4 linked regions of the Diceros bicornis minor genome follow. The protein of the gene in region 1 interacts with the protein of each later gene in a pairwise test. Links are inferred from orthologs where the notes say so. Each region holds a gene or a part of one and is shown in the gene's direction. Other genes may lie near its edges.

Region 1 (7,915 bases):
TTCTTACACTAGGAGGCAAAGCACGTGATTTGGTTCCTGGCTGTAAAAGAAAACATTAAAAGGGCAGAAGTTGCTCCATTTTTAAAAGTTGAAACTTGAAGGAAAAACACTTTTTTAGGCTAATATGTATCTAATGGCGTTTATATAATATATATCTGAGAAAATTACCAATGACTTTTTAAAGCTGAATTCTACTCTTACCAGCAAATGATGATATTTGCATTTTGAGAAAGGATGTCTGACTGTCCCTTAATCACTCTTGACAGTATAGTATTTCCAGAAACCTGCACACTGGGAAGGGGAAGTAAATAATAGTAGGGAGGAGAGAAAAGTCATTCTGGCATTCTAGATGAAAAATTAAAGAAGCAAGTTAACACGTTAACCCTGAATCTGTAGTTGATGTACAAAGTAAAGACTGTGGGTCAGCAAGAAAAGGTTAAAATACATTCATTAATATTAATAAGAAAGAAGAAGTGCATTTCAGAAAGATTACAATGGTTGAAGTTTTATTGCTTAAAGGAGTAAATCTCAGTTATCTGGAAAATTAACTTTTGTGGAATACCTCTTTGCTTCTTAAAGGAAATGCTAATGCATTATATTGAGGTTATTATTGCAACAGAATTTTCTAAAATTTGTGAAGGTACTCCAGTCTGTTTCTGGAATCTATTCCAGGTATAGCATGTACTCACATGATTTTAGAATCCAGAGAAATATGGAGCAAAGGAGCAAACAGTTGGTTAGCTGGGACATTGGGTACAACAAAGAGATTAGCAAAGAAGAAAAGCTATGCAAATAAAATGCTTATAGATGACTAGTCTCATATTTCTTTGTTATTCGTATAAGTGCATCTCATGATGTATATAATCAGAGTCCTAGTTATTTAATCTTCTCCTTTCCTGTCCAATGCTTCTTTCAGGACCATGGTTTGTTGGTGAAATCATTAAGGGCAAATTGGGTTGCTGCTTTTCCTTTGGGATCTTTGTTGATGGACATTTCCTACAAGGCAGCATAACATTTATAGTTGGAGTTCTTCAGGTAAGAAGTCAGAAATGCAATTTAAGAACATCTTGGCCTTGTTGGACTAATTGCGTAACAGTTACAAATTAAATCCAAAATCCCAAATTAAACACCATAGATCATGTTTCCTAATTTACTGGCAGGGCAATCTTTAATATCTGGTGTTTTGTTTGCTTTTAGAGTGCTTCCTAAGCTCTTTCTTCCACTACTGTCTTGTAAATATCTAAAATACATTTTTGGCAAGCAGAGTTTATAAGAGGTGAAAGAGGTTTTTGTTTTTGTTGTTTGTTTCACTGTGCTTTTGCATTGACAAAAACTGAAATAAAGGACTTATGGTAGAATAAATGATAGACTTCTGAGTAAACCAAAATTGATTATGATAATGAAGAAGGAAAATGTTTCAGAGGGAGGAAAGGAAAAACAGACGCACAAGAAAAGCGGGTCAGTTACCCACTGGAAGCTACACTGGGCAAAAACCAGACTTGGCTTTCTAGTGATGTCTTAGCAGTACACTTGTTTGGGAAACACTCATACATTAGATTTACACTTGGATTAAGATTCCTTTAGGGGCTGGCCCCGTGGCATAGTGGTTGAGTTCGGTGCGTTCCACTTTGGTGGCCCAGGTTCTCTGGTTCGGATCCCGGCACGGACCTACACCACTCATCAGCCATGCTGTGGCAGCAACCCACATATAAAGTAGAGGAAGACTGGCACAGATGTTAGTTCATGGCTAATCTTCCTCAAGAAAAAAACTGAGGAGGATTGGCAACAGATGTTAGCTTAGGGCTAATCTTCCTCAGCAAAAAAAAAAAAAAAAAAAAACCCCACAAAGATTCCAACACAAAAAACTCTGACCTGTAGCAAATCTCTATAAATAGGTCTGAAAACTATTTACCTAACAATTTATTTTACTCACCTAATGGGGCTAATGGACCAAAATCTGAAGTGATGATCTGATGTTTTGGAAGAGATCCAAAAACATTGTTCAGAATGAGTTCACAGCCTTGTAATAGGATAGTGAAACATGATCAGCAGGATTAGGGAAGACCTCTGCCCAGCAAACACTGACTACAAGCCAGAACATTCTCTGTACAGCAGCTGTACAACATTCTCTGTACACATTGTATATGTGAGTAGGTCCCGGGTCCAGTTCAGTTTTCCATTATGTAGATGGAGGCTGGCCCTCCATCTGTGTGTGGAGCACTCTTATACCAAGTAAAACCTGATCCTTACCGAAAGGTGGGTATATATTTATATTTTAATAAAAGTACACTAATAACGGATTTTATGTGTCATGTAGGCCCATGACTCCCAAATCTACATCTCTGACCTAGACCTCTTCTTGGCACTTCAAGTGCTTATATATCCAACTGCCATTTCACATCTTCCCTTAGATATCTAAAAGCCATCTCAACTTAATATTACATCTCTAATAAGACCTTTAATTTCTACCCCCAAACCTGTGTTCCTCCCCAAATTCTTTCCAATTTCAATAAATGGCTCCACCATTCACTTAGTTTCTCCAGGATGTATCCTCAATTCTTCCCCTTACCTCATACCCTGTATCTAGTTCATCAGCAAGTAGTACCTTGTTTGAGCTACCTCCAATACATATCTTGAATCCACCCTTCTCTCCATCTCTGTTACGCCATCCTAGTCTAAGTCATAATTATTTCTTGCCTGGGCTACTGCACTAACCCCCTAACTGGTCTTCCCACTGCTGCTCTTGCCTCTCTACTATCAGTTCACCACAGAGCATCCACTGTGGTCCTTTTAAAACCTTAATCAGCTCACTTCTCAGCTTAAAACCCTTTAACCAGAGCAGTGACATGATCTGGGTCCTGCTGACTGCCCCCCTTTCCACCTGGCTCATCTTGTGCCAGGCCTATTGGCCTTAAATAGGCCAAGACTGCTTTTCATTGTTTCTTCTGCCTGAAATGTCCTTCCTTTCACTGACTCATTCCTGTCCTTCAGGCTTCAGAGATGGAAGGCTTCAGTCCTTCCATCTCCCAATTACCCTCTCATAACTCAGTTATTTCTTTTATTGAATTTATCACAATCTGTAATTATCTTTTTTTTTTGGTTTCTCTTCTCCCTGTTAGAATGTAACCTCTATGATGCATCTTTTCGGACTTGTTCACCAGTATGTTCCTAGTCTAGAGCTAGCACAGTGCCTGACACATAATGAGTGCTCAATAATTATCTGGTGAATGAATGAATGAATGAATCATACAGCAGCTAACCTTATTATAACTTAAATCTTTTAATTTGTATTCTAGTATTCATCAGGCTACTTCAAATAAAAATACAGATAAAAAAATATTGACACCCAAGTTCCTCCCTCACTGTGCCAAAAAAAAAACCCCAAGTATATATATTGACCTGCACATATTCAATTCATTTCTACCTTAAACATTATTGAGGGCTTCAACATAAATGAAATGATACCTGCCTTTAAGATGAACAGAAGGATACAGGCAAATATACAGCTAACTACAAGTCAACTGTTGTGTTATATGCAAATGTGATTGAAGCTTAAAGAATCAGAGAGTTAACCCCCAAGAGAGAAAGCAACATATTCTTAGGAGCCACCAATAATGTGTTAGTGAGACCCCACCCCTCCAGGGGCTTGCTATTAAGCAAATGGTTTGTTCTGCTTCTCTTTCCAGCTGGTGTTTTTTAACATCCCCTTGATGGCTTACCTGTGTTGGAGCTTGCTGCAGCGGTGCTTTGGTCACAACTTCAGGTCTCATCTCCGTCAAGGAAGATACTTGAAAGTCATACTTGTTCACCTGCTAATGGTACTGCTGTACATCTGGCAGATTTATTCCTGCTATGTTCTTCATATGACGTATGGCACTTTAGCTTTTTTATTCTCCCCACTGCGGACCTGGTTGACACTGCTGACACCTGTTTTCATTCGTTGTGTGTGGACACTGAACTCTACTGAGCTTGGAACCTTCATAGTGCAGTTAAAAAGCCACCTGAGCTCCTGAAGGCCATCTCACCACCCGCCTGTCAGTAGCCCAGGCCTCTGCCCCAGCAACAGGTGAAAGGCCAGTATTGGTGGGCTGCTGCTGCTTGGATGGTTGGGAGTTGGGGGGATTACCCACTACTGATTTCTGCAGCATGGACTGCAGAAAAGTGTCTAAATGATGTTGATTCCTTCCTTCCCCAAGAAGGCAAAGGGTTGATTTACATTTGTGAAGAGAAAGCCCTAATCTAGGAGATCCACACGGCAGGGACTGGGTGTATGGGAGTATCTGAGGCCGAGTGTGTTTTTTAAGATTACCTCATGTAAAGTATCTAGCACAGTGTCTGGAACTCAGCAGCCATTACGGGTGCCACTTTAGGGGCGGAGAACCACTGCGAACTTGGGCCCGACCCTGACTACGCTTGAGATATTAGCTCCCAGTCCTCTTTTCCCGCAGGGTTATGGGTTCTCTGCTCCCTTAGTCGGGGGTGTTTTCAACTAATCAAATAAATGAATAACGAATAAGAAGTAACTCAGAGAGGTCCTTGCTTGTGTGGCCCGGCCTCTAGGGCGGAAGGAGGGGTGGCCCGGCCTCTGGGGACGGGGAGGGGGAGTCGTGGCCTGGCCTTTGGGGCGGGAGAAGGCGTGGCCGGGCCTCTGGGGCGCAAGGAGGCGTGGCCGGGCCTCTGAGGGCGGGGGGGGAGGCGTGGCCGGGCCTCTGAGGACGAGGGGAGGCGTGGCCGGGCCTCTGGGGCGGAAGGAGGAGTGGCTCGGCCTCGGGATGGCAGGAGGCGTGGGTGGGCCTCTGGGGCGGAAGAAGGCCTCGCCGGGCCTCTGGGGACCGGAGGGGGTGTGGCCGGGCCTTTGGGGCGGGGCGGGGCGGCGGGGAGGCGGGTTGTTGCCGGAAGCGAATCCCGGTCTGTGACGCCCGGAAGTGGAGCGGCTACCGCAGTGGGACACGGGCAGCTGCCTTGGCTGCTTTTGTCTGCAGGCTCTAGGAGGTCTACTGAGATGGCGGGCGCAGCTGCGCCTGCAGCCGCATTCTCTACCCTGGCTCCGCCTTTGGAGCAGCTCCGGCACTTAGCAAGGGAGCTGCGGTTGCTCCTGCCTGGAGTGCGGGGTGAGCTGACGCAGTTGGGACAGGCGACGGCAGGGGCGCGCTTGGGGTGGGGGAGAGGCCAGGCTGTGGCGGCGGCGGAGGCGGGGGCCCGCGCGGAGGAGGTGGGGGCAGGAGGTGGCTCCGCTTACCCGGCCATTTTTTTTGCCATTACCCGGCCCACACGCCTCGCCCACCAGTCGGTGAAGCCCAGGAGACCACCAAGGAGTTTAATCGGGAGACGTTTTGGAGAAGACTCAGTGAGTGCCTCTCCTGTTCCCATCTGTCATGTCCTCCAGCGTCCCGACCCCTTTCCCTCTCGCTTTCCCCCCGCCGCATCCTCTCTGTGGGGATACCTCACCTTACCGGTACATCCTCGGCATTTCAGGGGTTGATATAAAACATTGATTTTTGGAGGTGTTTTTGAGACTTCTCAGCCGGCAGGGGTGGAGAAGGGAGCGCGTTATCTTCCAAGTCCGTGCAGCAGCTGCAGCATCATCCTTTTAGCGCTAACATATTGACTCCTGTTTCCTCGTCTGTCACCCCTAGATGAGGCCGCTGTGAAAGTGTCAAGGGAAGCCACGACTCTGACCGAAGCCTTTTCTCGACTTCCGTTGCCGTCTCCACAGGTGGGCTTTACCTTCCTGGAATCAATGTGCTGCCGCCTTATTCCTTAGGAATGCTCTCATTTTCTTTCCACCTTTTGCACTTAAGCCAGGGAATTTATTTTTCTCACCTGTCAAATAAGATTTCAGGATTGTTGCGAAGACCAAATTGCCAAGTGCAGTACCTGGCATGGAGTGGGAAAGTCTTCTAAATATTGGTTCAATTTGAAGTTCATCCTGGTCATCTCCTTCCTGATAATTTTTTTAAGCACTTGCTATTTGCTAGGTGTTTTCACATGCATGATCCCCATCTGACAGATGAGTAAGCAGGCTCAGAGGCTCAAGTTAAGGTAAAAAAGCAGTGGAGATGGGATTTAAATTAGAGTCTATCTGATGTCTAGGCTATGCCTTTTCTGTTATGCTACATAATACCCTTTTTGTGTTGTATTATTTCTTATATTTAATCAGTAACATATGTATACAGTGTGAAATTCAAAAGATATCAAAGTTGTGTGCTAAAAAGTTTATATCTCCCCTCCCCAGTTACTTTTGTATTATTCCATATATATTCTATGCTTCTTTTTACACAAATGAAAGGATGCCATAAACACTTTTCTGGACCTTCCTTTCTTAAAAAAATTATCAATCATAGCACATATAAATTGATTCTTAGCAGCACATATAAAGTTGCTCAGGTCTTTCTAATGGCTGCATGGTATTCAATAGAGTGGATATAACCATAATTTATTTAGACAATACTCTAAGTAGACATTTAAGCTGTTGCCAACTTGTAACTATTATAAACAGTGCTGTGGTGAATTACAGTCTTTTTTGTGTGTGTATCTGTAAAAAAAATTCTCAGAAGTGGAATTGCTAGAACAAAGAATGTATGCATTTTTAATAACTGTAACTATAATAACTTTATTATAAAACTAATGAAAGTAAACATGTTGGCTGTGACTAGTTTTTCTAGAGCTAGATGTACTTAATTTGGGAGTAGGGTTATTTTAGAATGACATATTCGTTGCCATATTTGGTTTCCATAGTCAGTAGTTTCCTTCTTTTTCTCAATCTATATATTCAGATGTTTTGAAATGAAAAAAAACTTTTTTGCTGCATCTACAGTGATAAACTCTCTCCCCCTGCATACCTCAGAGATCTGTGATGAGGAAACAAGAGATGAATTGTATGAGAGCACTTTAAAAGCTTTGTGAAAGTCAATATTTATTTCAAAAGGAGTAGTAGTATTACCTTCAATCTGCTGACTCCTTTCTTTCAAATACACTTAGGACTTGCTGCTAAAATTTATAGCTAGTAAGATACCGTGAGGTGGCAGCATAGAACTGTTTTTCTGTACATGCTCAGGACAGTGGTTTCACTCATGGATGAAAAATTAGAATTTGGTTTTATTTGAATTATATATATTTGAATCACAATTGCTTTCTTAGAATCTCAGCATGTTAGTCCTACTGAAGAATGGTTTTGTTTTTTTTTTAATTCCAGTCCATATGGACTGGTATTTTTATAAAATTATGTTTGGATGTTGAAGCAGTGTCAAATTGCCACAAAAGTTTCTGAACGCTCTCATTCACCGTACTTATCCATCCTAGACTGTGATGAACCGTTTATGGACTAGCACCAATCTGTGGACCAATTTTGCATAGCACTGGCTTAGAGTTTAGTAGAGAAGCGAAGACAAGGAAGATAAGAGAAAGCCAGTGACTGCTTAGAAGGAAAATAGTCAGCATTGAGCATTGTAGAGTCCATGCTAATTACCTTTAGGTATACTGTCATGACTAGCTTAATGACGGATACATTCTGAGAAATGCATCCTTAGGCGATTTTGTTGTTGTGCAAACATCATAGGGTGTACTTACACAAACCTAGATGGTATAGCCTACTACACACCTAGGCTTTACAGTACTAATCTTATGGGACCACTGTGGTCCGTCATTGTTGGAAACATTATTATGCAGCATATGACTGTACTGTGATTCTGTTAAGAGAGAGACAGATGGCGAGACAGAGAGATCAGACACCTGGTTAGTGGTCTAAGGTAGGGTTGGCAAACTTCTTCTGTAAAGGGCCAGATAGTAAATATTTTAGGCTTTGCAGGCCAACTGCTTAGCTCTGCCCTTGTGGTGCGAACACAACTACAGACGGTCCCCGACTTACGATGGTTCAACTTAACGATTTTTTGACTTTATGATGGTGCTGTGTGAA
Region 2 (7,013 bases), on another chromosome or scaffold:
GTGTGACAGGCATAATGTCTTTGTCCTGTAAGGGGGGCTCCAGAGGCTATAGATGTATATAGGAGATTGGGAGACTAAAAAACAGTTTTATTGAGGTATAATTGATATACCATAAACTGTACATATTTAATGTCTACAATTTGATGAATTTGGATATATGCTTATACCCATGAAACCATCACCACAATATCAAGGTAATAAATATATCCATCACCCCCAGAAGTTTCCTTGTGTCCTTTTGTGTATATGTTGTGTGTGTGCTAAGAACACTTAACATGGGATCTACCCTCAACAAATTTTTTAATGCATAGTACAGTATTGTTGACTATAGGGAGATGTTTTGGAAGTAAAATCATTTGGACTTCAGGAAGAGAGACAGTATACAAGTAACTGAAGTCTAGGTGACATTGACCCATTGGTTGAGAAGCTGAAGAAGCAAATTTTGGGGGGATGATAATTTTAGTTTAGATGGTTTGAGGCACCTGTAGATACCCAAGTGGAGGTGTCCAATAGGCCATTGGATTAGTGGAGTTGGAGCTCAGGAGAAACTAGACTAGAAATCGAATTTAGTAGTTGAGCTCCTCTTTCAACAATGGTGGACTAAATAATTTGTCCAATCCTCAAGCTGAAGACATCTAAAAATGTTGGATGAAATACTTTAAAAAATCAAAGAACTAATAAGACTGAGAAATTATTGGTGTGAGAGCATGAAAGGACAGGAAAGCAGAGAGATGAGACAGCAGTAGGACTGCTTTTACCCTGGGGTCATTTGCTGATCCGAATTGGTGGCAGAAAATAGGCTGTGTGGTGCAAATGAGACAAAAATTGGAATCCAAACTTCCCCAAAGATGAGAACCTGGTTTGGGCCGGCCCCGTGGCTTAGCGGTTGGGCGCGCGTGCTCCGCTACTGGTGGTCCGGGTATGGTCTGGGCGCGCACCGAAGCACTGCTTCTCGGGCCATGCTGAGGCCACATTCCACATACAGCAACTAGAAGGATGTGCAACTATGACATACAACTAACTACTGGGGCTTTGGGGAAGAAAAAAAGGAGGAAGATTGGCAATAGATGTTAGCTCAGAGCTGGTCTTCCTCAGCAAAAAGAGGAGGATTAGCATGGATGTAAGCTCAGGGCTGATCTCCCTCACCAAAAAAAAAAAAAAAAAGATGAAAACCTGGTAAACTGCCTTCCTGTTTTTCATTAGAATCCTGAAAGGCTGCACTCCTAGAAACCTAGGAGTAGGGTAAATCAGAAGTAAATAGAACATGAGGACCCAAAACATTCAAAACCAAAATTAAGAACCAATCGATGGGTTTAACAGCAAGTTAGACTTGACTTAGGAGCAAGTAATGAATTGGAAGAAAGGACAGAAGACACTACCCAGAATGAAACATGAATAAAAAGGAGTGAAAAACATAAAAGAGAGGGTTAGGGTCATGGAGGATACTGTGAGAAAGTCTGACACACATTTATTTAGAGCCCAGGAAGGAGGAAAATAAAAGACTAGAAGCAATATTTGAAGAGACAATAACTGAGAAACTTTAAAAATAGATGAAATACATCAAGCCACAGATTCAGGAAGTTCAACAAACCAAGTAAGATTTTAAAAAAAATCCATATCTGGACCCATCAGAGTGAAATCACAGGAAATTAAATCAAAGATGAAATCTTTAAAATAGTAAAAAGAGGATTGATTACCTTCAAAGGAGCAACCATTAGATTGCTAGAGAACTTTTTTTTTCAGAGCAAAAATGGAAGCCATAGAAAGTGAAATAATATTGTAAACGTGCTGAAAGAGAATAACTTCCAATCTAGAATTCCATATCTGGAGAAAATGTCCTTCAAAAACAAAGGTGAAATAAAGAGGTATTCAGACAAACTGAAATGGAGAAAGTTAGCCACCAGCAGAGGGGCACGAATTCTCAAGCAGAAGGAATATTATTCCAGATGAATGGTTGGACGTGCAGGAAGAAATAAAGAACATTAAAAATTGTGAATGTAGGGGGCCCGCCCCGTGGGGTAGTGGTTAAGTGTGCGCACTCTGCTGCTGGCGGCTGGGTTTGGATCCCTGGTGCGCAGGGATGCACGCTTGTCGAGCCATGCTGTGGAGGCGTCCCATATAAAGTAGAGGAAGAAGGGCCGGATGTTAGCTCAGGGCTGGTCTTCCTCAGCAAAAAGAGCAGGATTGGCATGGATGTTAGCTCAGGGCTGATCTTCCTCACACACACACACACACACACACACACACAGATTGTAAATCTAAATGACCACTAATTTAGGTAATAAGCATTAATGTCTTGTGAGATTGAAAGTATTTACAGAATTTAAATTCTGTACACGTATACAGCTACGCCTACCCAAGAGAAATGAGTGCATCTCACCACAAGAATCTTGTACAAAACTGTTCCTAGCAGGTTTATTCATAATGGCACCAAACTGGAAACAACCCAAATGTTTTCTGTGTGTCTCAGCCAGTTGGAGGTCCTGAGTTCATCAACAGGAGAATGGATAAACAAACTGTGGTATATTTATGCAATAGAATGCTACTCATAAATAAAAAGGAACAAATTGCTGATGAATGCAAGAACATGTGAGAATCTTGAAACGTGTCAAGCAAAAGAAGCTAGATAAAAAAGAGTACATACAGTGTGAGTCCATTTGTGTGACATTCAAGAACAGACAAAACTAATCTATGATAATGGAAACTAGAATAGTGATTGCCTTGGGGGCAGGGCAAAGGGGTATGAGCTAAGTTTCTGAGGTGATAAAAATGTTCTTTATCTTAATCTGGGTGGTGGTTACACGGACAGAATACATTACTCAAAATTTATGGAGCTGTAGACTTAAAATCTGTGCATTTTGCTGTAGTAAATTATACATCAATAAAACACTTAAAAGAATTACACAACAGCAATAGTATATAATTCTGGAGGGAGTGACGGTGGTAAATGGAATTAAATTATTTCTGCATTTTCACCAGGAGGGTAAAAATGTTACCAAAAATTAGATTTTGCTAAGTCAAGGACGCATGTTGTAATTTTTAGAGTAACCTCTAGAAGAGTAGAAAAAGTGCGTAACTTCCAATTAACAGAGGCAGGGAAGGAATAATAAATATTAACCAATGCAAAAGAAGGCTAGAAGGAGAAGAAGGATTACAGAAGAAACGAAAAGCACATAGTAATATGATTGATTTAAATGCAAATACAGTATATCCGTATACGTGGCTGGTGAAACCTCATATAAGGGTAAAATACGCCAGAGAGTTTGTGGAGTGAGGAAAGAAGAGAAATTGGGGGGAAATCAGGCAATAATGGGTGGGCCGCGTCCTTCTTTCCTTGCCACTTCTTTTGCTCTCGTTTTCTGAGCTCTCTTTCTAAAGGCTGCCTCGGTTTCCCTTCTAGTCCGTCGCCATCAGTGTTTTCCCCCTCTGATTCCATCAATATACTTCCTCCTTTTCTCAAATCCGCTTCTCCTGCCTCGAGTTTCTAGCCTTCTGTGAACTACACCCAGACGTAGTGTTTATTGTTGTTTAAAGTCTCTTCCTATTCCCCTATTTCACATGCTGATGGCAAAAACAGCTTCTAAACGCTGCATTTTTGACGCAGGAAAAAGTAAAAGGAGGGCAGTTACCTTTACTGAGAAAATTTAAGTTGAGAAGAAAAAGCACACGCCTGTAGCAGAGGATGGTTTCGATCCATCGACCTCTGGGTTATGGGCCCAGCACGCTTCCGCTGCGCCACTCTGCTAGCTGGAGAGAAGGTGCCTCATGGTTTCTATAGAAAGTTTTTAGCGCGTTAGCCGTCCTGCCTTCTTTACACAGCGCCGTCTAGTGTCTGGTTGAATAAAAATGCTCATTTTTGTTAAGTCTGTTCTTATTGGCTAGATCCTGACACAGTCAGCATTTTGTATTGGTTCATAAGCCAGTTTGCCATTGTAGACCAATAGGCATAAGCGGCGGGGTAAGGCGGGAGCCAATCGCGCCGGAGTTTGTTGGGACACGCCGGCAAGCCGCCTCTCCATTTATCTCTTCCTCCGAGGAAAGGGGCGGTTGGTGTGGCCTCCATTGTTCGGGTTTTAGGGCGCCATGAGGTAAAGGCACTGGGGTGCTGTAGAATGGTGTCGGGTATTCGACCGAAAACTTTGGGAAGGTGGGCCGAAAGGAGTCGGAGGAGCTGAAAGGGCCACGTGTCTGGGGGCTGCCCTAACACCGAAAAGGCCTCGTCTGGGAGAGTAGGGGAGGTCGGAGGCTGCGGGGGCGGGGAAACTTGGGCCCGGGCTGGGGGTGGGGCGCAGGAGCGGGCAGGCGGTCGGCCCCTCGGTTTTGGAGGGGTCTGGATGAGGGGTGTCCTCGGGTCCCAGGAGAAGCACCCCCATCTAGGCTGGGAAGTCTGGAACGTGCCTCATTCATTCTATGCCAAGTGCTTGACATAGGAAATGCCCGCTAAATGTTTTACTACGTTAATAATAAATGAGCACTCACTTTAGTGCCTCAGGTATTAGGATTGGCGTCTTCCAGGGGTCATGGGGTATTTCTTGTAGGGGTTCAGTGTTTGAGCCCGTCATTATGTTTGGGTGGAGTTGTGACTAAATTATCCAGAATGAGGAGGTCCTGGGGGTGAGGCTGAGCATTTGGAATGGGGAGAAGCGTAGGTGGGAATGGGGTCTCTTGGCTTCCAAAGGGAAGTTCGGAGCGGTGGAGGCAGGCTAACTTGAAGTGATTTGACCGGTATGGTGGAGATGCCTTCAACAGGTCAAAACAGGTTAAAATCTATTTATGCATTTCTAGGGGTGACAGAGGCCGAGGTCGTGGTGGTCGCTTTGGTTCCAGAGGCGGCCCAGGAGGAGGGTGAGTGTCAGTTTTTAGCATCTCTGCACTGCTTAATTTACACTTCAGTCATCTAAATAGGAGTTTGGAGTGGACTGATGCTACCTGCTTTTGTGAGATCCAGCTGTGGTTTAGAAACGTTTCTTTTCATCCTCTCCTGCTAAATGAGTTTGGCCCCATTAGGCTAAGTCACTTGATTTCTGTGGTGAATAATTTGGATTTTTCTTGTTTTAGGTTCAGGCCCTTTGTGCCACATATCCCATTTGATTTCTATTTGGTGAGTATCTTGGCCCCTGTTCACCTATAGACATAGAAATGGAGCCTGGACACTGTTTCACTTGTAGTTTCCTGGAGCCCAGCATCTCCCTGTCAATGAAGTCTTGAATAGTGGCTGGAGTAGGAAAAGGGATTAGTGAGTGGAGCTGGGGTTTTGAGTCAGCTGTGTGTTGCTTTAAGTACAAACACAGTGTAAGGAGGGTGGGGAAGATAATTCCTTGGCTACTGTTGGCAGTAAGGTGATTGTAATCTTTGTTCTGAATAATTAATTGTATCTCTGGCTTATCTGTTAATATAAAGGTAGTGAGAGCTTAAATTATGGCTGTTCCTTGTAGCTTACATCCTTGTTTGAACATCTTGAGTAGACAGGTGTTGTAGAATTTTCTATTTTCAGTTTTTTCTGTTGCGGCAACCGAAAAAAACAATCTTCCCTGTATATTATTTTTGGTAAATAGTATATAATTATTTACTTCTGATTTAGTGTGAAATGGCCTTCCCCCGGGTCAAGCCAGCGCCTGATGAAACTTCCTTCAGCGAAGCCTTGCTGAAGAGGAATCAGGACCTTGCTCCTAATTCTGCTGAACAGGTATATTCTTTTGGCTTCCTTCCTGAGATTTCACTAAGAATGCTAGGGAAGGGGCCAGCATGGTGGTGTAGTGGTTAGGTTTGTGTGCTCCACTTCAGTGGCCCAGGGTTTGCAGGTTTGGATCCCCGGCCCTGACCTATGCACCACTTATCAAGCCATGCTATGGCAGGCGTCCTACATATAAAGTAGAGGAGGATGGATGCTGATCTTAGCCCAGGGCTGATCTTCCTCAGCAAAAAGAGGAGGAGTGGCAACAGATGTTAGCTCAGGGCTAATCATCTTCCTCACCAAAAAAAAAGAAAGAAAGCTAGAGAAGTGAATAACTGCTGGTGAGGTTAAGGTTACTGTTATCAGAGCCTAAACTCCACGGTGGGTTGAATTGTTCTTATTTCTCATTGTGAGTGGAGGGAGACTGCCAGATGAATATATAAACAGGTTACATATGCATTCATATTTTTATTGAGGAATCTATCTTTGGGATCAAAAACTTGTTCTTTTATGACATATTCAAGGCCAGAAGGGTCAGAGTGTTTTCAAAGCCCTATATCAGTATTGATTCCACTTGTATGGAAGGGATTAGGGGAAAATATTCAAATTCTGAGAAGTTGCTCGTAATTTTTCAACTTAGGTTATTTTTGTTTCCTGCTGTTTTTCAGGCTTCTATCCTTTCTTTGGTGACAAAAATAAACAATGTGATTGATAATTTGATTGTGGCTCCAGGGACATTTGAAGTGGTGAGTTTTTGATGATTTATTTAGTCCTAGGAAAGGGCAGCCTTGCTAGTGTGGAAGTTTCCTTGGCTCCTGTCTCTTAATTCTTTGGTTGCCTATTATCCAAAGCCAAGCCGAAAATGGGAAACTACACTGGAATTCCTTTATAGTACTGATTATGGGGACAAGACTTATATCGTTGTTATCAGCTAGCCGTGATGTATCAGGCTTTTCGTTTGGTTGTTTGGGGGATATCACTTGACCTCTGCTACTTCAAATCTGGGTCACAGGAAGCTATGTTGTAATTGAGTTCTGAGAGGCAGTCTTTTCACTTCTAATTTTTTTTCCTGAAATCCCTTTTCCAATAGCAAATTGAAGAAGTCCGACAGGTCGGATCATATAAAAAAGGAACAATGACTACAGGACACAATGTAGCCGACCTAGTGGTAATCCTAAAGATTCTGCCAACATGTGAGTGTACCTCTTTCTGCCCACGGGAGAACATAGCAATTGGGTAGGGATGTTTAAAGCCCAAATTTCTTCTCTTTTGCACCCCAGGGGACATTTGGCAGTGTCTGGAGACATTTTTGGGCTACTGGCATCAAGTGGGTAGAGGC
Region 3 (6,011 bases), on another chromosome or scaffold:
CCAGGCCACTCCTCAGGCATATCAGCCCTCTCTGACTATAGGAGATGAGGGACTCCTTCCAGGTGCCATCAAGGTGTCCTGATTGCTCACTCACATTTCCCAGCAGACATCGATAACTCCCAGTTCTCCTTTCCCCTCTGCATGTTCCCTGTGGCCATCAGAAGCCAAATGACTCCATGCCATAGTGAAGAAGAGCCACAGCCATTTCATCTCCCATCTCGCCACCCCAACAATGCAGTACCCTACGTGTCATCCCATGCCACCCCCAATGATAATTTGAGTAATGGTGATACCTTTACATGCAGTGGATTACCTGGGTGCATTGCCCCCTCTGCAAAGAGGCTTCCCCTGTACTCCCTGAGTTTATGATCAATCCAATTCCAGTATCCTGTTTGAGGCTGCTCTTGGAACCCATCCCCATATTGGTGAGTATGGGCAGGAAATAGATGACACACTTATATTGGGTAATTTGAGGAGGATTCAATAAAAGGACTATTTACAGAGGTGTGGCAGGGTGAAGGGAAATCCCGAGGGACAATGCGGTACCTGGGACTATTATCAGGCCTGAAGGAGTGAGGGGAGGGAGCAATGGCAGGGCCCCAAAGCCAGAGAGCTGTGTGGAGGGACCCTGCAGCCAGTGGTGATCCTGTAGGGAGGGAAACTGGAAATCAATACCCTGACCCCCTTCCCCTCCTTTCTTCTGCTGGATGCCCCCGTTGGCCAAACCCACAAGCCAGAGGGTGAGGGAGCCTATTGCTGGTGTCTGTAGATGTCAGTGTCCAGGAGGCTGGGTGGGCAAGGGTGGAGAGAGGACCTGGAGGGGCCAACAGAAGAGAGCCAGCAAAACTACCCATCTGACAAGAATATTAATAACTGCCTTTGTGGGCATCATCCACTATCCCATTTGATCTGCTGGACAATCCTGTGAGGCAGGCTCTATCACCGTTCCCGTTCCACAGACAGAAATCTGAAGCACTGATAAGTGAAATAACTCGCTTCAAGTCCCATAGCTCATAAGTGCCAGAGGTGGGATTAGGACCTGGGCTCAGTCTGGCTCCAGAATCAGGCTTGAGCCAGCCCTGCAGGCTGACAAGCTGACCATAAAAGCAGCTCATACACATGTGTGCTGATAAGATCAAATACTTTTCAAAACCAGTATGATGTGTGGGCTGCTTATTTCAGTTGGCACATAACATTGTAACTGCACCAGATACGTGCTATATTATTTATGTAATAAATTATATAATCTATGTATATCATAATTATCATAATGTCTTCTGTGACTTTTTCCCTGGGTAGGCTGTGAGCCGCTTAAGGATGGAGATTTGTATGCCGAGCATTTGCCATTGTGCACAGCTAAGGTGGGCTCTCAGTCAATGCTTGCCTTGAGTTGAATTCGATCTTTTCTCCTTGAGTTTATAACAATAGATTCAGTCAGTCAGTCAGTCAGTCATTTAGTTTACATTTTCTGAGCACCACTAGGTTTCTGAGCTGCTGGTCTAGGCACAGAGGGATATGAATGAGTAGGACTCATGATCTAATCTAAGAGACAACGTGTGGATAGTGAGATGAGCAAGGGACTGTGGGAGCGCAGAAAGAGGATCAGTTAATTCTGATGGCAATGATGGAAGGGATGGGCCCACTGAGGAGAAGCCTTTGAAGGATAAATTGAGTTTCAATAAATGAGGGAGAGGGGAGGGCATTACCTGCTGAGATAGAATTTTAAAAATCACGGATTAAAGATGTCTAATGAGTTATAAATGAGCTTAGAGGTGTTTGGAACCTATCTTTTACACTTAGAGGTTGATACTTGGCCTTGCCACCCCCTGCTGAAATGACCTCTTTGGCTTCCTGGGGTCCTAGCTGATGCAGGGAGGGGCTGTGGACGAGCCTGGACAGGAGACATCTTTGCCCCTGCCTGTGGGCTTATTCACTTTTCCTTCTTCTGCCTCCTTGCCTTCTGCATGCACATCTGTGACAGTGCACAGGCTCAGAATGGCTGCCCACAGGGTGGGGGCCTCTGTGCCTCAAAAGGGGAGGCAGCCTGGGATGGGGAGTCAGGAGGCCCAGGTTGCAACCCTAGCCCTGTTCCTCCCTTTCACGGGCTTGGTTTACTGCTCTGTATATGAGTGTTGGGCTCAACCGTGTTTGAGGTCCCTCCTGACAATCCCTGATTCCTAGGCTCATACTGCCCCTCTTAGGGAGTTGTGCTGAGGATAAAATGAAAGAATGTGAGAGAAGAAAAATGATGACGCTGAGACAACTTCCCACTTACCAAACACATACATGTCACTCTCCCTAAATCTGAGAAAATTTGGTCCTTACTGTGCCTAGAAGGACACCCAAGGTTTGTTTTGACCTCATAGGGATGTTTTCATCTTGCCCTTGGCAGGTAGGAAAGAAGGAAATGGCAGAGCAGAACACCAGAGCCCTGAGCTAGGATGTTGGGAGTGGAAGTGGGGCCAGGGCATCTGAGGAAGAAAGTGAACCTGGTGAGTTAGGGGGAATCCTTAGGGCGAGAATTGCCCTATTACACGAGATTGCCCAGGAAACGGATGCAGGCCACAGAGAAGGATGAACTTCCTTCATTCAGTATTCTGTTAAAAACCCCGACTGGTGTACCGCAGTTCAATTCTGGCGCTAACCATCTGGAGTTAGTGCAGACCCCACAAGTTAGAGGGCATGGTCCCCAACAAGACTGCTCTAACTTCAGTTGCCAGCTGCAAGTTCAGAGGGGTTCCCAGGCTGCAGGTACTTCTGACTGACTGGGTACAAATTTGGGGGGTTTCCATGACTCCCTTCAGGCTCAATAATTCACTAGAACAATGCACAGAACTCAGGAAAGTGCTATTCTATGATGACAATTTTATTAGAGAGGACACAAATCAGTAAGACCAGCCAAATGAAGAGGTACATAGGGCAATGCAGAGCTTCTGGGCCCTTTCCTCGTGGAATCAGGGCATGTCACCCCCCCAACACATCAATGTGTTTGCCAACTAGGAAGCCCCACTGTGCTTTGTGTCCAGAGTTTTATTGGGGTTTCGTTACTCAGGAATGGTTGATTAAATCATTGGCTGGAGACTGAACTCAATCTCTAGGCTCCCTCCCTGGACCTCACATGGCTCAAAGCCCCAACCGTCTAATCATATGGTCTGTCTTTCTGGTGTGGCCAGCCCCAGTCCTGAAACTACTCAGGGGCCACCATGAGTTACATCGTTGGCATAAACTATTGGGCTCACCATGAATATCACTCCTAATACTTGGGAAGTTTCAAGGATTTACTGTCTCCCTCCCAGGAACCAGCGACAAAGGCCAGTCAAATTCTTTATGATGTGACATTTAGTGTGGTCAGTTTCCTCCAGATCGGCTTCTCAAGCTCCCTCCCTCCCACTTTTTTTTTTTTTTTTTGTGAGGAAGATCAGCCCTGAGCTAACATCCGATGCCAATCCTCCTCTTTTCTTGCTGAGGAAGATTGGCCCTGAGCTTAACATCCGTGCCCATCTTCCTCTACTTTATATGGGCGCCACCACAGCATGGCTTAACAAGCGGTGCATCGGTGCGCACTTGGGATCCGAACCTGTGAACCCCCGGGACCCCACAGCAGAGCACGCACACTTAACCACTGCACCACCAGGCCGGCCCTGCCTCCAACTTTTTGCTTTGATAAGTTTCAAACCATTTAGATTAACCAGTTCTTGGCAATTTTGCCACCTTTGCTTTCTCTCTCAATCTCTCTCTCTCTCTCTCCTGACACATCACCCCTAAATACTTCAGCATGTATCTCCTACGAACAAGGTCAATCTCCCACATAACCAGAGCACAATGACTGCACTCAAGACATTTAACATTGATGTAACACTATCATCTAATATACATGTCACATTCAAATTTACCCCAGGGGAAAAAGTCCTTTATAGTTGATTTTCCCCTTATCTTGGATCCAATCCAGGATCACAATTTGCATGTTTCGTATCTCCTGTCATCTGACAGAGTTCCTGTCTTTTCTTTTTCTTTCTTTCTTTGTCTTTTATGACACTGACATCTACAAAGTGTCCAGGCCAGTCATTTTGCAGAATGTCTCTCACTTTGGTTTGTCTATTTCCTCAAGATCAGATTCAGAGAGAACATTGTCAGCAGGAATACTACAGAAGAGACGCAGTATTCCTACATCTGTAGTATCCTTCTCAGTGCCTCCCATCAGGAGACACATGATGCCAGTTTGTCCTATTAATAATAATTAAACTTGGATTACCTGATTAAGATCAGGCTAGCTTTTGATAGAAACCTGAGAAATATTGGTACTGATCTTCCAAGCAGTCAGAGGGACTGCAGCACACCTGGCCTGCCTTCATCTCCTTTCATCCCTTTCGGGAACACCAAGAGCAGAGTCTGGATGGCAGGAAATGGGAAGAGTGGCCAGGCCCTGCAGTGGTGTCACTTATTCCCAGTTCTCCTGAGGCCACTGGAGATAGCTCCGCAGCCATTATCTGTCTGGTGCTTCGGAGCCTGGGATGGAGATTATGCCGCCCCCCCCATATGTCCATGCACGTGTCCCTGTACGTGCGCACTTCTGCGTGTGCATGGAAGTAGGTATGTGCGCGGTGCCTATTGTGCAAACGTGGGTCTTTCTGCTTGCATCAGCGTGTCGGCATGCACGTTCCGGTCGGTGTAAGCCTTCAAGTTTCTTCTAAAGCACATTCCACGTTGGAGGCTCTGGGGTGGGCTAAATTGTGTGTGTGTGTGTGTGTGTGTGTGTGTGTGTGAAGCGCTCCTGCGCGGAGCTGGTCCTGGTTCTCAATGCTCCCCACTTTCTGGGCCGGCGTGGTCTGGTCTGCGACCCCCCTTCATTTCCTCTGACGGTGGTTGCTCCCACGCCACCCGGAAGTGTTTGCCTCGCCACAGGCCGTCTGGTTTCGCCGGCAGACATGGAGCGGCAGGGCGGTCCGCGCTGGTCCGGCAGCGCTCCCACGCCCGAGGAGTTGGCCCCGGCCCCCGTGACTCTGGCGCAGCTCCTGCAGCTGGTCCAGCAGGGCCGGCAGCTCCCGGGCCTCGAGAGGCGCCACATCGCGGCGACCCGTGGCGAGCCCACGGCGTCCCGGCTCCCGCGGAGGCCCAAGCCCTGGGAGGCCGCGGGCTCGGCCGACGCCCCCGCGCCCCCGCCCTAGACCCGAGGCCCCAGGCCCCGCGGACCCTCGGGTACGGGTAGAGGAGCCGCCTGGAGGGGCCCGGCCCCGGGGAGGCAGCGACCACTCCTTCCTAAATGACACGCAGTGGGTTCCTGAAGCTCGAGGTCCTTTGAGCCGAGATCTGGAGAGCGTGACGGCGTCCTGTATAAACTCGGACCCTGGATACTGGCCACTCTGTTCCTCATCTTTTGTGCATTCGCCCTGACCTGTCTCAACTGGACTTAAGCCTCCTGGGAGCATCATTGGGGTTGTTTTGTATCCGTATTTCTTAACCATGATCTTCATTAAATTTTTTTTTTTTTTAAATCCTGTTTCAGTCCTTATTTGTAATTGAAACAAATGTCATACTTACTTGACTATCTGCGATGCATAAATATGTTTTCACTTTAAAAATGCTCCTTGGGATACACTAAAGGGGTCTGACCCACTGGGAAGTTTCTTAGGAATGTACAAGAACATCAGTATTTATCTCCTGATTCAGTTTATTCTGGTGGCTATGGAACTGAATACGGGATCCATTTTAGACGGCCATTCTCCAGACAGGCAGTTAGTAACAGGTTTGATGATAAAACTTGGCCCCAGAATGACTTCAAAGATACATTAAATGAACGAAATTTCAAGCATTAAAAAAAAAATCCCAACAAACAACACAAACCTTAGAACCCTTGGCTCTGGGAACCAGCCAGGTCAGGCAAGGGGCTATGGGCTTAGAGCAGAGGAAAAGCTCCCACGACCACCTTCTGCAGTCAGTCTCTTGCAAGAGGCCATGTGGCTCACTGCACCTATTCTTGCTTCCTGAAACTAGGTTATTTTCCCTACACCTAG
Region 4 (7,711 bases), on another chromosome or scaffold:
CAGGAGGCCTGCCCTGGCTGGATAAGACTGGTGGGGGCTGATGTGGGGTTTGAAGGCAGCCGGTGCAGGAGTGCTATTTATTGCATATTTATTGTTCAGATGTTACCATCAGAGAGGAGGGGAAGGGTGACAAGGGAAGGGGTCTGGCCCAGCCCACTTGCAGGAAGACCTGGCTTAGGCTACTGTGGGCAGGGACCCCCACCAAGCCCAGCCAAAGGGAGCCAGCCAGCTGAGGCCTGACTTTTTTCAATAAAACATTGTGCACTTCTGGGCCTCCTGCTGCCCCGGCTCTATTTCTCCTGGCACCAAGTGAAGAAGGCGGAACTGAACCCCGACCCAGAGCCAGCTCCCTGAGGCTGTGCCCCTTTCCGGCAATCTCTGGCCACCCCCATTGGCCAGGCTGCCCCTCCCACGAGCCCTGGGGCCCCTCCCACCCTCACTCCAGATGAAGCCAGCCCAGGACTGCTTCATTGGGCAGTAGGCACTAGGGCTGGAATGGGGCCGCCCGGCTCCCCATGGCAGTGGGTGCTGCTGCTGTTGGGGCTGCTGCTCCCTCCTGCCACCCCCTTCTGGCTCCTCAATGTGCTCTTCCCCCCGCACACTACGCCCAAGGCTGAGCTCAGTAACCACACACGGCCCGTCATCCTCGGTAAGCCCCCGCTAGGCCCCTGATGCACCAGGCCAGACCTTGGGGAGCCTGGGCCCCAGTCCCTGATAGCAGACCCTGCCAAGGCCTTTCTGCCCCTGCATTAGCCCTGATACCTGCCTCAGTGGTTGGAGGGGCCAAAGGTTTGTGCTGCAGAGAAATCAACCCTTTCCCCCACCACACTTCCTGTGTCTCTGAGTTGTCTAGCCCAGGCGGGTGGAGTGGGGGCTGGGCGTGCCTGAGGGCTTGGCCAGGACATTACAAGCTGTGGTGAGCTACAGCCACTGGACCTTGGGCCAAGCCCACCACTCCTTTCTCAGCCCCAACCCCAGCAAGGACAGGATGACCAGCCCAGGAGAGCAAGGGAAGCCTATCAAGGCCTGCCCCCTACTCCTAGGCCCAGCTCCCATTCCCCCATACCTATTTGTTCTCACCTTGGACTTTGGCAGTAATGGAGAACCATGCTAGGTGTTTGCTTTGTGGGGGCAGGGGTCAGTGGCCTTGGCCCCTGCACCCTTCCTGCCTGAGGGGAGCCTGGGCTTTGGGCTGCTGGGGGGATGGGGTGGGGGTATGATCAGAAAGAGAGGATCGTATCTTTAGTCCCTGGGGATTAAGGGTGTGGAAGATGAAGGGGCAAGGCTGGTCACTACAGTGGGGGATGAGACTGGGGTGGAAATCTGAGGAATCCAGAGTGAAGGCTAGTGCCTGCAGTGCCTGGCTGCCTGGGGAATCAGCTGGAAGCCAAGCTGGATAAACCTGATGTGGTGAACTGGATGTGCTACCGCAAGACAGAGGACTTCTTCACCGTCTGGCTGGATCTCAATATGTTCCTACCCCTTGGGGTAGACTGCTGGATCGATAACACCAGGTAAGTGCCATCCCCTCTGCCCCAGCCCCTACACCCTGCCCCCTTGCTGCTGGCCTGCTGACTGTCCCACTGCCCCCAGGGTTGTCTACAACCGCAGCTCTGGGCGTGTGTCCAACGCCCCCGGTGTACAGATCCGTGTCCCTGGCTTTGGCAAGACCTACTCTGTTGAGTACCTGGACGACAACAAGCTGGCAGGTGTGTGTATTGGGGAAAAGAGTGGGACTCTAGGCTGTAGTGGGCCCACAGGAGCCGTGGTCAGAGCCCCCAATGCTGTTGCCTCCCCCACAGGTTACATGCACACACTGGTGCAGAATCTGGTCAACAATGGGTATGCGCGGGACGAGACAGTGCGGGCCGCCCCCTATGACTGGCGGCTGGAACCCAGTGAGTATCTCTGCGGATGATGAGCTCGGGGTGGGGCAGGTGGCCCCTAACTCCAGCTGCCCTGATCCCCCTCCACCCACCCCACCCGCAGGCCAGCAAGAGGAGTACTTTGGGAAGCTCGCTGGGCTGGTGGAGGAGATGCATGCTACTTACGGAAAGCCTGTCTTCCTCATTGGGCACAGCCTTGGCTGCCTGCACTTGCTCTATTTCTTGCTGCGCCAGCCCCAGTCCTGGAAGGACCGCTTCATCGATGGCTTCATCTCTCTTGGGGCTCCCTGGGGTGGCTCCATCAAGCCCATGCTGGTCTTGGCCTCAGGTGAGAGAGTATCGGTTCACCTGCATCCTGTGGGAGGTTGGGGAGTGGAATGAAGCTGACTATGGACCTGCCTTCACTCCCACTTCTGCTCATAATGCCAGGCTGGGGTTGTTGTCTACCACCCCTGGGGCATGGCCCCCACCCTTAGCCCCCCCACCCCGAGAGCAGTGAGCCTGGCCTGGACCATTAGAACAGCTCCTGCCAGACTCTGTCTTAGTGGTGACAAAGGGGAAGAAAGAGGAAGTGAACCCCAGCCATCTGACTCATTGCCCTAGGTCTGTTCCTTGTGGCCTCCCAGCTTTCAGCTGCCTTCTCCCAGGAGCCCCTTTGCCCAGGGATCTGCCCTACTGAGGACAGATCTTCCAAAGCCAGGGCCAGACCCTAGAAGCCCCTCTTGCCCTTCCCTGAGGAGTGGCACAGCCACCACCTGTTGAGCGCCCACTGTATGCTGGGCATAGCCAGACTTGGCCTTCCCCGAGGAGTGGCACAGCCACCACCTGTTGAGCGCCCACTGTATGCTGGGCATAGCCAGACTTGGCCTTCCCCCTAGGAGCTCACGGTCTGGTGAGGGAAACACTCCTTAGACTACATCAATAAATGTCAAACACAGCCACGGTCTCATTTCATCCTTCTCAGAACACAGCTCTGACTCCTGTGCAGCACAGGCCATAGGGGCTGACAGACACTTGCCTGAGGGAGAACTGCCAGCACCATCCCCCCACCATTCACACATACACAGTCATCCCTAGGAAACCCCTCCTTACCCTCTTTTTGAGGCCCTACAGCTCTGCCTCACAGAAGTGCCATCAGAGCTTCTCATTTAATAAGCACACATTAAACACCTACTGAATGCCAGGCCTACTTTAGTATGTGGCTTGGAATCAGTGTTTGGATTGAGCATCCAGCTGAGCTTGGGCTAGGGGGCAAGTGTGGGCAGTGGGTAGCCAGGCCTGGTTCCCTGCCCCACCTTGCTCCATGTCCACAGGTGACAACCAGGGCATCCCTATCATGTCCAGCATCAAGCTGAAAGAGGAGCACCGCATGACAACAACCTCTCCCTGGATGTTTCCCTCCAGCCGGGCATGGCCTGAGGACCATGTGTTCATTTCCACGCCCAGCTTCAACTACACAGGCCGTGACTTCCAGCGCTTCTTTACAGACTTGCACTTTGAGGAAGGCTGGTACATGTGGCTACAGTCACGTGACCTGCTGGCAGGACTCCCAGCACCTGGTGTGGAAGTATACTGTCTGTATGGTGTGGGCCTCCCCACGCCACGCACCTACATCTTTGACCACGGCTTCCCCTACACAGACCCCGTGGGTGTGCTCTATGAGGACGGTGATGACACTGTGGCCACGCGCAGCACTGAGCTTTGTGCCCGCTGGCAGGGCCGCCAGCCACAGCCTGTGCACCTGCTGCCTCTGCACGGGATACAGCACCTCAATATGGTCTTCAGCAACCAGACACTAGAGCACATTAATGCCATCCTGCTGGGTAACTACCGACATAGCACCCCTGCATCCCCAGCTGCCAGCCCAGGGCCCCTGCCCCCTGAATAAAGACCTTCTTTTGCTGCTGTAAGCTCTGACATGTGTGTTGTGGGTTGAGGGGGAGGCACTATGGTCCACACACCAGGGTTTGTTCATCAGCAGCCGCAGGCCTAGTGCTTTGTGGAACATAGGGCAAGATGGGCTTTGCTAAAGCCTGGGATTGAACTGAGCACCCTGTGATGTACAGCTTCCCACTCCCCTGGTTGAGCTGTTTGGGCAGCCTGCCTTGTGCCTGCCTCTGCTCTGGGCGTGGGGACTGGAGGCAGCTGCGCACACAGCTGTGGGATGGGGGCACATGGAGCCAAGCGTGCAGGGCAGGGAACATCTGAGCTGTGCCTCTCAGCTTCCAAAAGGGCAGGTGAGACGCCCCCCCCACTCTAGACAGGGCCTTTTGAGTGAGTGCTAGGTGGGTGACAGAAGCACAAGAGTTTAGAATCTGGGGGAGTGACAGCCACTAATCAGATCATTTCACTAATGAAGGTTTAATTATTAACAGAGCTAACTGGTCTGAGAGAAAAGTTTAAGGAGCAACAAGGGGCTGAGTCTTGTGGGTCAGGGAAGGCTTCTCAGAGGAGGTGGTACCTATGCTGAGATCAGATGGGATGAGAAGGGTAACACGGGCCACCATAAAGACTTGGGTTTGAGCCTGAGAGTAATGTGCAGCTGCTGAAGGGTTTAATCAGGGAAAGAGTGTGACCAGGTTTTCAATCTAGAAAAAGCCCCCTCTCTGCAGGGTAGAGTGTAGCCTGGGGTGGGAGGTGGGGGGCAGGAAGTGGGAAGCTGGGGAGGCTAATGCAGTGTCTAAGGGAGAGGGGATGCTAGCTGAGACTAAAGCAGTAGTTAGGAGAAAGATGTGGATAGATAAAGGGTCATTTGGGAGGTGAAATAAAGCTTGGCCATGCGTAGAGCCCAGCATGCCTCCAGGCTACTAAAGGGACAGCCACTGTGTCCCTCTGGAGAGCAGGAAGACAGCACACCAAGAGAGGGAAGATGGATCAGCGTCACCATGGCCAAGGATTGAGCCTCCGTGTTTGAGGTTTTGGGGAAGAGACAAAGGCAACAAAAGAGAGGCAGGAGTTGGGAGAAGGGGAGTGACAAAAGACAAAAGGTAGCCATACCCGATGCTTTTGGGAGGCCAGTACCAATAACGACAGAGACCTGGCCACTGTGACAGCCTTAGGGCATTGAGACTTGAGGTTAGCGTTCCAGTCAGGGTAGGCAGAGCTAGGGACTCAGATTGGAAGGGGGAGGAGGAGTGGAACAATGGCCAGAAGGAAAGGATTTGACCCTCTGTTCAGAGGACAGGGAAGCAGCAATGGAGAGCCAGGCAAGGGACATCTCCCGCTTCCCAAGCTGCTTAGGACCCAAGGTGAAGGTGAAAGTGAAAGAGAATATGCAGAGAAGGGCCGGTGTGCGCTGAGAGAGGGTGAAAGCGAAAGCGGGAAGCGTCAGACGTGGAACCCAACAGAGGCCAAGACCGTGGCCCTTCTCGCTCCACGCTGGTGCCACTCGTCCGACCATCGACCCCAACCCCCGGACCGCCCTGCCCACCGCAAGATGCTGAAGCCAGCGCTAGAGCCCCGAAGGGGCTTCTCCTTCGAGAACTGCCAGAGGTGAGGGGGGTGAAATGGTTGGTGCCGAGCTGCCAGTGAAGGCTTCCGGGAGTGGAAGCCCCAGGGCCTTTATTCCTGGTGGAGGAGAGGGTAGCGTGTGTTTGGCAACTTGGGTTCCCAGGCTTACCCCGGGAGGTGAGGGAGACGGAGACGGAGTTAGCGGATGTGATGGCGAACCCAGAAGAAGAACCGTAACCTGGGCCACTCCCTTCCGTTTTCAGAAACGCATCCTTGGAACGCGTCCTGCCGCGGCTCCGGGTCCCTCATGCACGCAAAACCGGGACCACCATCGCGGGCCTTGTGTTCCAAGTGAGCAGGGGGTTCGGACAGGAGGGCTTACAGGGGAGGCTGGGGGGATCCGGCGGGCACTGAGCCAGCAGCCCCTCCCCATCCACAGGACGGGGTCATCCTGGGCGCGGATACGCGGGCCACTAACGATTCGGTCGTGGCGGACAAGAACTGCGAGAAAATCCACTTCATCGCTCCCAAAATCTAGTGAGAATTCCCCAGCCGGGTTCCCCGCCGCAAGAACCTCCCCCTCGTTCCCATCCCCGGCCCCCCCACATCCTAGCCCCGCCCACACCAACCCTCCCTTCCCTTTCAGCTGCTGTGGGGCTGGAGTGGCCGCGGACGCCGAGATGACCACGCGGATGGCGGCGTCCAACATGGAGTTACACGCGCTGTCCACGGGCCGCGAGCCCCGTGTGACCACGGTCACTCGCCTTTTGCGCCAGACGCTCTTCCGGTGCTGGGGCGGGATGCTGTCCCAGGGGAGAGGCTGTTGCGGGGAGGGCGGGGCTGCGAGGTCCCGGGAGACCGGAAGAGGCCGGCCTAAGAGGAGCTGGGCAACAGGAAGGAGCGGTGTCAGTCGAGGGCGCCAGACCACAAGAAGGGGTGTGGCTCTGATCCAGGGGCGGTGTCGCGGGGGGCGGGACCGGGAGCCCTGTGCCTGCTGCTGACCACGCCCATTCCGCCGAAAGGTACCAGGGCCACGTGGGCGCGTCGCTGATCGTGGGAGGCGTAGACTTGACAGGACCGCAGCTCTATGGCGTGCACCCCCACGGCTCCTACAGCCGTCTGCCCTTCACGGCCCTCGGTGAGCGTTTTCGCCCTTTCCCCACGAACCCCGCCCCTGTGACTCTGGCCTCACGTTTGTCCCGCGACGGGGCAGCCGCGGCTGACCTCAGATGCCTCTCTTGCCTGCAGGCTCCGGCCAGGACGCGGCCCTGGCGGTTCTGGAGGACCGGTTCCAACCGAACATGACGGTGAGCGACATCTACCCCCTCTACGCGTTCGTTGGTGGGAAGTGCACCTGGGAGCTGGGGGAAGGCAGCGGTACCCTGGCCTAGTCTGGAGGTCGGGGGAGGCGTCTCGGAGGTGACTACTGAGTGGAGACTGAGGGGTCGGTGGAGTGAGGATGGAGAAGTGCTATTCCAACAGACCACGTCAGTGCCACAGCTTGGACTGCCGGGAGAAGTCAAAGCTCGGAGAGGACCCTTTGGGGCTGAGGAGGGAACGGAAGATGGGGTCTGGCGTCTGGATTTTGTTTGGGGTGGGATGGAAGCGAATGACGTATGTTGCTTCAGAGGTACCTAAGGCCCAGAAGGAAAAATGCAGTGAGCCAGTAGATCAGGGACCAAGACTACATTGGGTGGGTGGACAGGCCACTGGAAGCAGAGCCATAAGTGTGACTCAGAGAAGTTTGTGAAGATGGGGCTGTGGGAACATGAGGTCTCTGGAGAGATGGAGGCAGACACCAGGGGAGGGGAGCTTGGGGTTGAGATGGGGGTGTAGGGGGACAGAGGAGTTTAGGTGTGAGCAAATGTAAAGAGTCTGGGCTTCAAGATTAACAAGGTCTCCAGGCTGAAGCTTGAGGGTGATACCAGAGGGGTCCATCAGGCCTCACACACACATCATCATCACAGCTGGAGGCCGCGCAGGAGCTGCTGGTGGAAGCCATCACTGCAGGAATCCTGGGTGACCTGGGCTCTGGGGGCAGTGTGGATGCATGTGTGATCACAAGGACCGGTGCCAAGCTGCTGCGAACACTGAGCTCGCCCACAAAGCCCATAGAGAGGTGGGAACAGAGGAGATGGAGGACCACAGGGGAGGATGGGGTGGTAGCAGGGGAGATAGAAGGCTACAAGAAGAGGATAGACTACATGATGGGCCCATGTTGAGAGGCCATCCCTCCTCCCTCCCAGGCCCAGCCAGTACCGCTTTGCCCCTGGGACCACAGCTGTCCTGTCCCAGACAGTGACGCCGCTGACCCTGGAGCTGCTGGAGGAAACTGTGCAGGCCATGGAGGTGGAGTGAAGTAGGCTGAGGCTCAG

The links.
Region 2: the proteins of CCNDBP1 (region 1) and ILF2 interact in a two-hybrid assay, tested with the Homo sapiens proteins (2 studies listed by BioGRID and IntAct). The two-hybrid records come from large-scale screens. The link is inferred for Diceros bicornis minor from reciprocal best matches to the Homo sapiens genes CCNDBP1 and ILF2.
Region 3: the proteins of CCNDBP1 (region 1) and C14H6orf226 interact in binary tests that used the Homo sapiens proteins (3 or more experiments, as listed by UniProt). The two-hybrid records come from large-scale screens. The link is inferred for Diceros bicornis minor from reciprocal best matches to the Homo sapiens genes CCNDBP1 and PEX39.
Region 4: the proteins of CCNDBP1 (region 1) and PSMB10 interact in binary tests that used the Homo sapiens proteins (3 or more experiments, as listed by UniProt). The two-hybrid records come from large-scale screens. The link is inferred for Diceros bicornis minor from reciprocal best matches to the Homo sapiens genes CCNDBP1 and PSMB10.

Annotation. Positions count from the first base shown.
Region 1 is NC_080744.1:40,641,201-40,649,115, forward strand, and holds the start of CCNDBP1 (cyclin-D1-binding protein 1), read left to right. Parts: upstream 1-4,906; 5' UTR 4,907-5,002; coding exon 5,003-5,111; intron 5,112-5,287; coding exon 5,288-5,347; intron 5,348-5,636; coding exon 5,637-5,716; intron 5,717-7,915. Other genes in the region: TMEM62 (transmembrane protein 62), read left to right, coding at 917-1,035, 3,687-4,013. UniProt on the Homo sapiens protein: May negatively regulate cell cycle progression. May act at least in part via inhibition of the cyclin-D1/CDK4 complex, thereby preventing phosphorylation of RB1 and blocking E2F-dependent transcription.
Region 2 is NC_080743.1:57,899,400-57,906,412, reverse strand, and holds the start of ILF2 (interleukin enhancer-binding factor 2), read left to right. Parts: upstream 1-3,993; 5' UTR 3,994-4,083; coding exon 4,084-4,088; intron 4,089-4,785; coding exon 4,786-4,845; intron 4,846-5,058; coding exon 5,059-5,101; intron 5,102-5,581; coding exon 5,582-5,686; intron 5,687-6,342; coding exon 6,343-6,420; intron 6,421-6,764; coding exon 6,765-6,867; intron 6,868-7,013. UniProt on the Homo sapiens protein: Chromatin-interacting protein that forms a stable heterodimer with interleukin enhancer-binding factor 3/ILF3 and plays a role in several biological processes including transcription, innate immunity or cell growth.
Region 3 is NC_080753.1:22,728,986-22,734,996, forward strand, and holds C14H6orf226 (uncharacterized protein C6orf226 homolog), read left to right. Parts: upstream 1-4,766; 5' UTR 4,767-4,925; coding exon 4,926-5,165; 3' UTR 5,166-5,492; downstream 5,493-6,011. UniProt on the Homo sapiens protein: May be a peroxin involved in the PTS2-mediated protein import pathway.
Region 4 is NC_080771.1:19,682,521-19,690,231, reverse strand, and holds the start of PSMB10 (proteasome subunit beta type-10), read left to right. Parts: upstream 1-4,698; 5' UTR 4,699-5,028; coding exon 5,029-5,378; intron 5,379-5,599; coding exon 5,600-5,687; intron 5,688-5,775; coding exon 5,776-5,873; intron 5,874-5,982; coding exon 5,983-6,123; intron 6,124-6,358; coding exon 6,359-6,474; intron 6,475-6,584; coding exon 6,585-6,643; intron 6,644-7,303; coding exon 7,304-7,455; intron 7,456-7,582; coding exon 7,583-7,694; 3' UTR 7,695-7,711. Other genes in the region: LCAT (phosphatidylcholine-sterol acyltransferase), read left to right, coding at 496-649, 1,358-1,514, 1,594-1,898, 1,990-2,214, 3,200-3,774. UniProt on the Homo sapiens protein: The proteasome is a multicatalytic proteinase complex which is characterized by its ability to cleave peptides with Arg, Phe, Tyr, Leu, and Glu adjacent to the leaving group at neutral or slightly basic pH.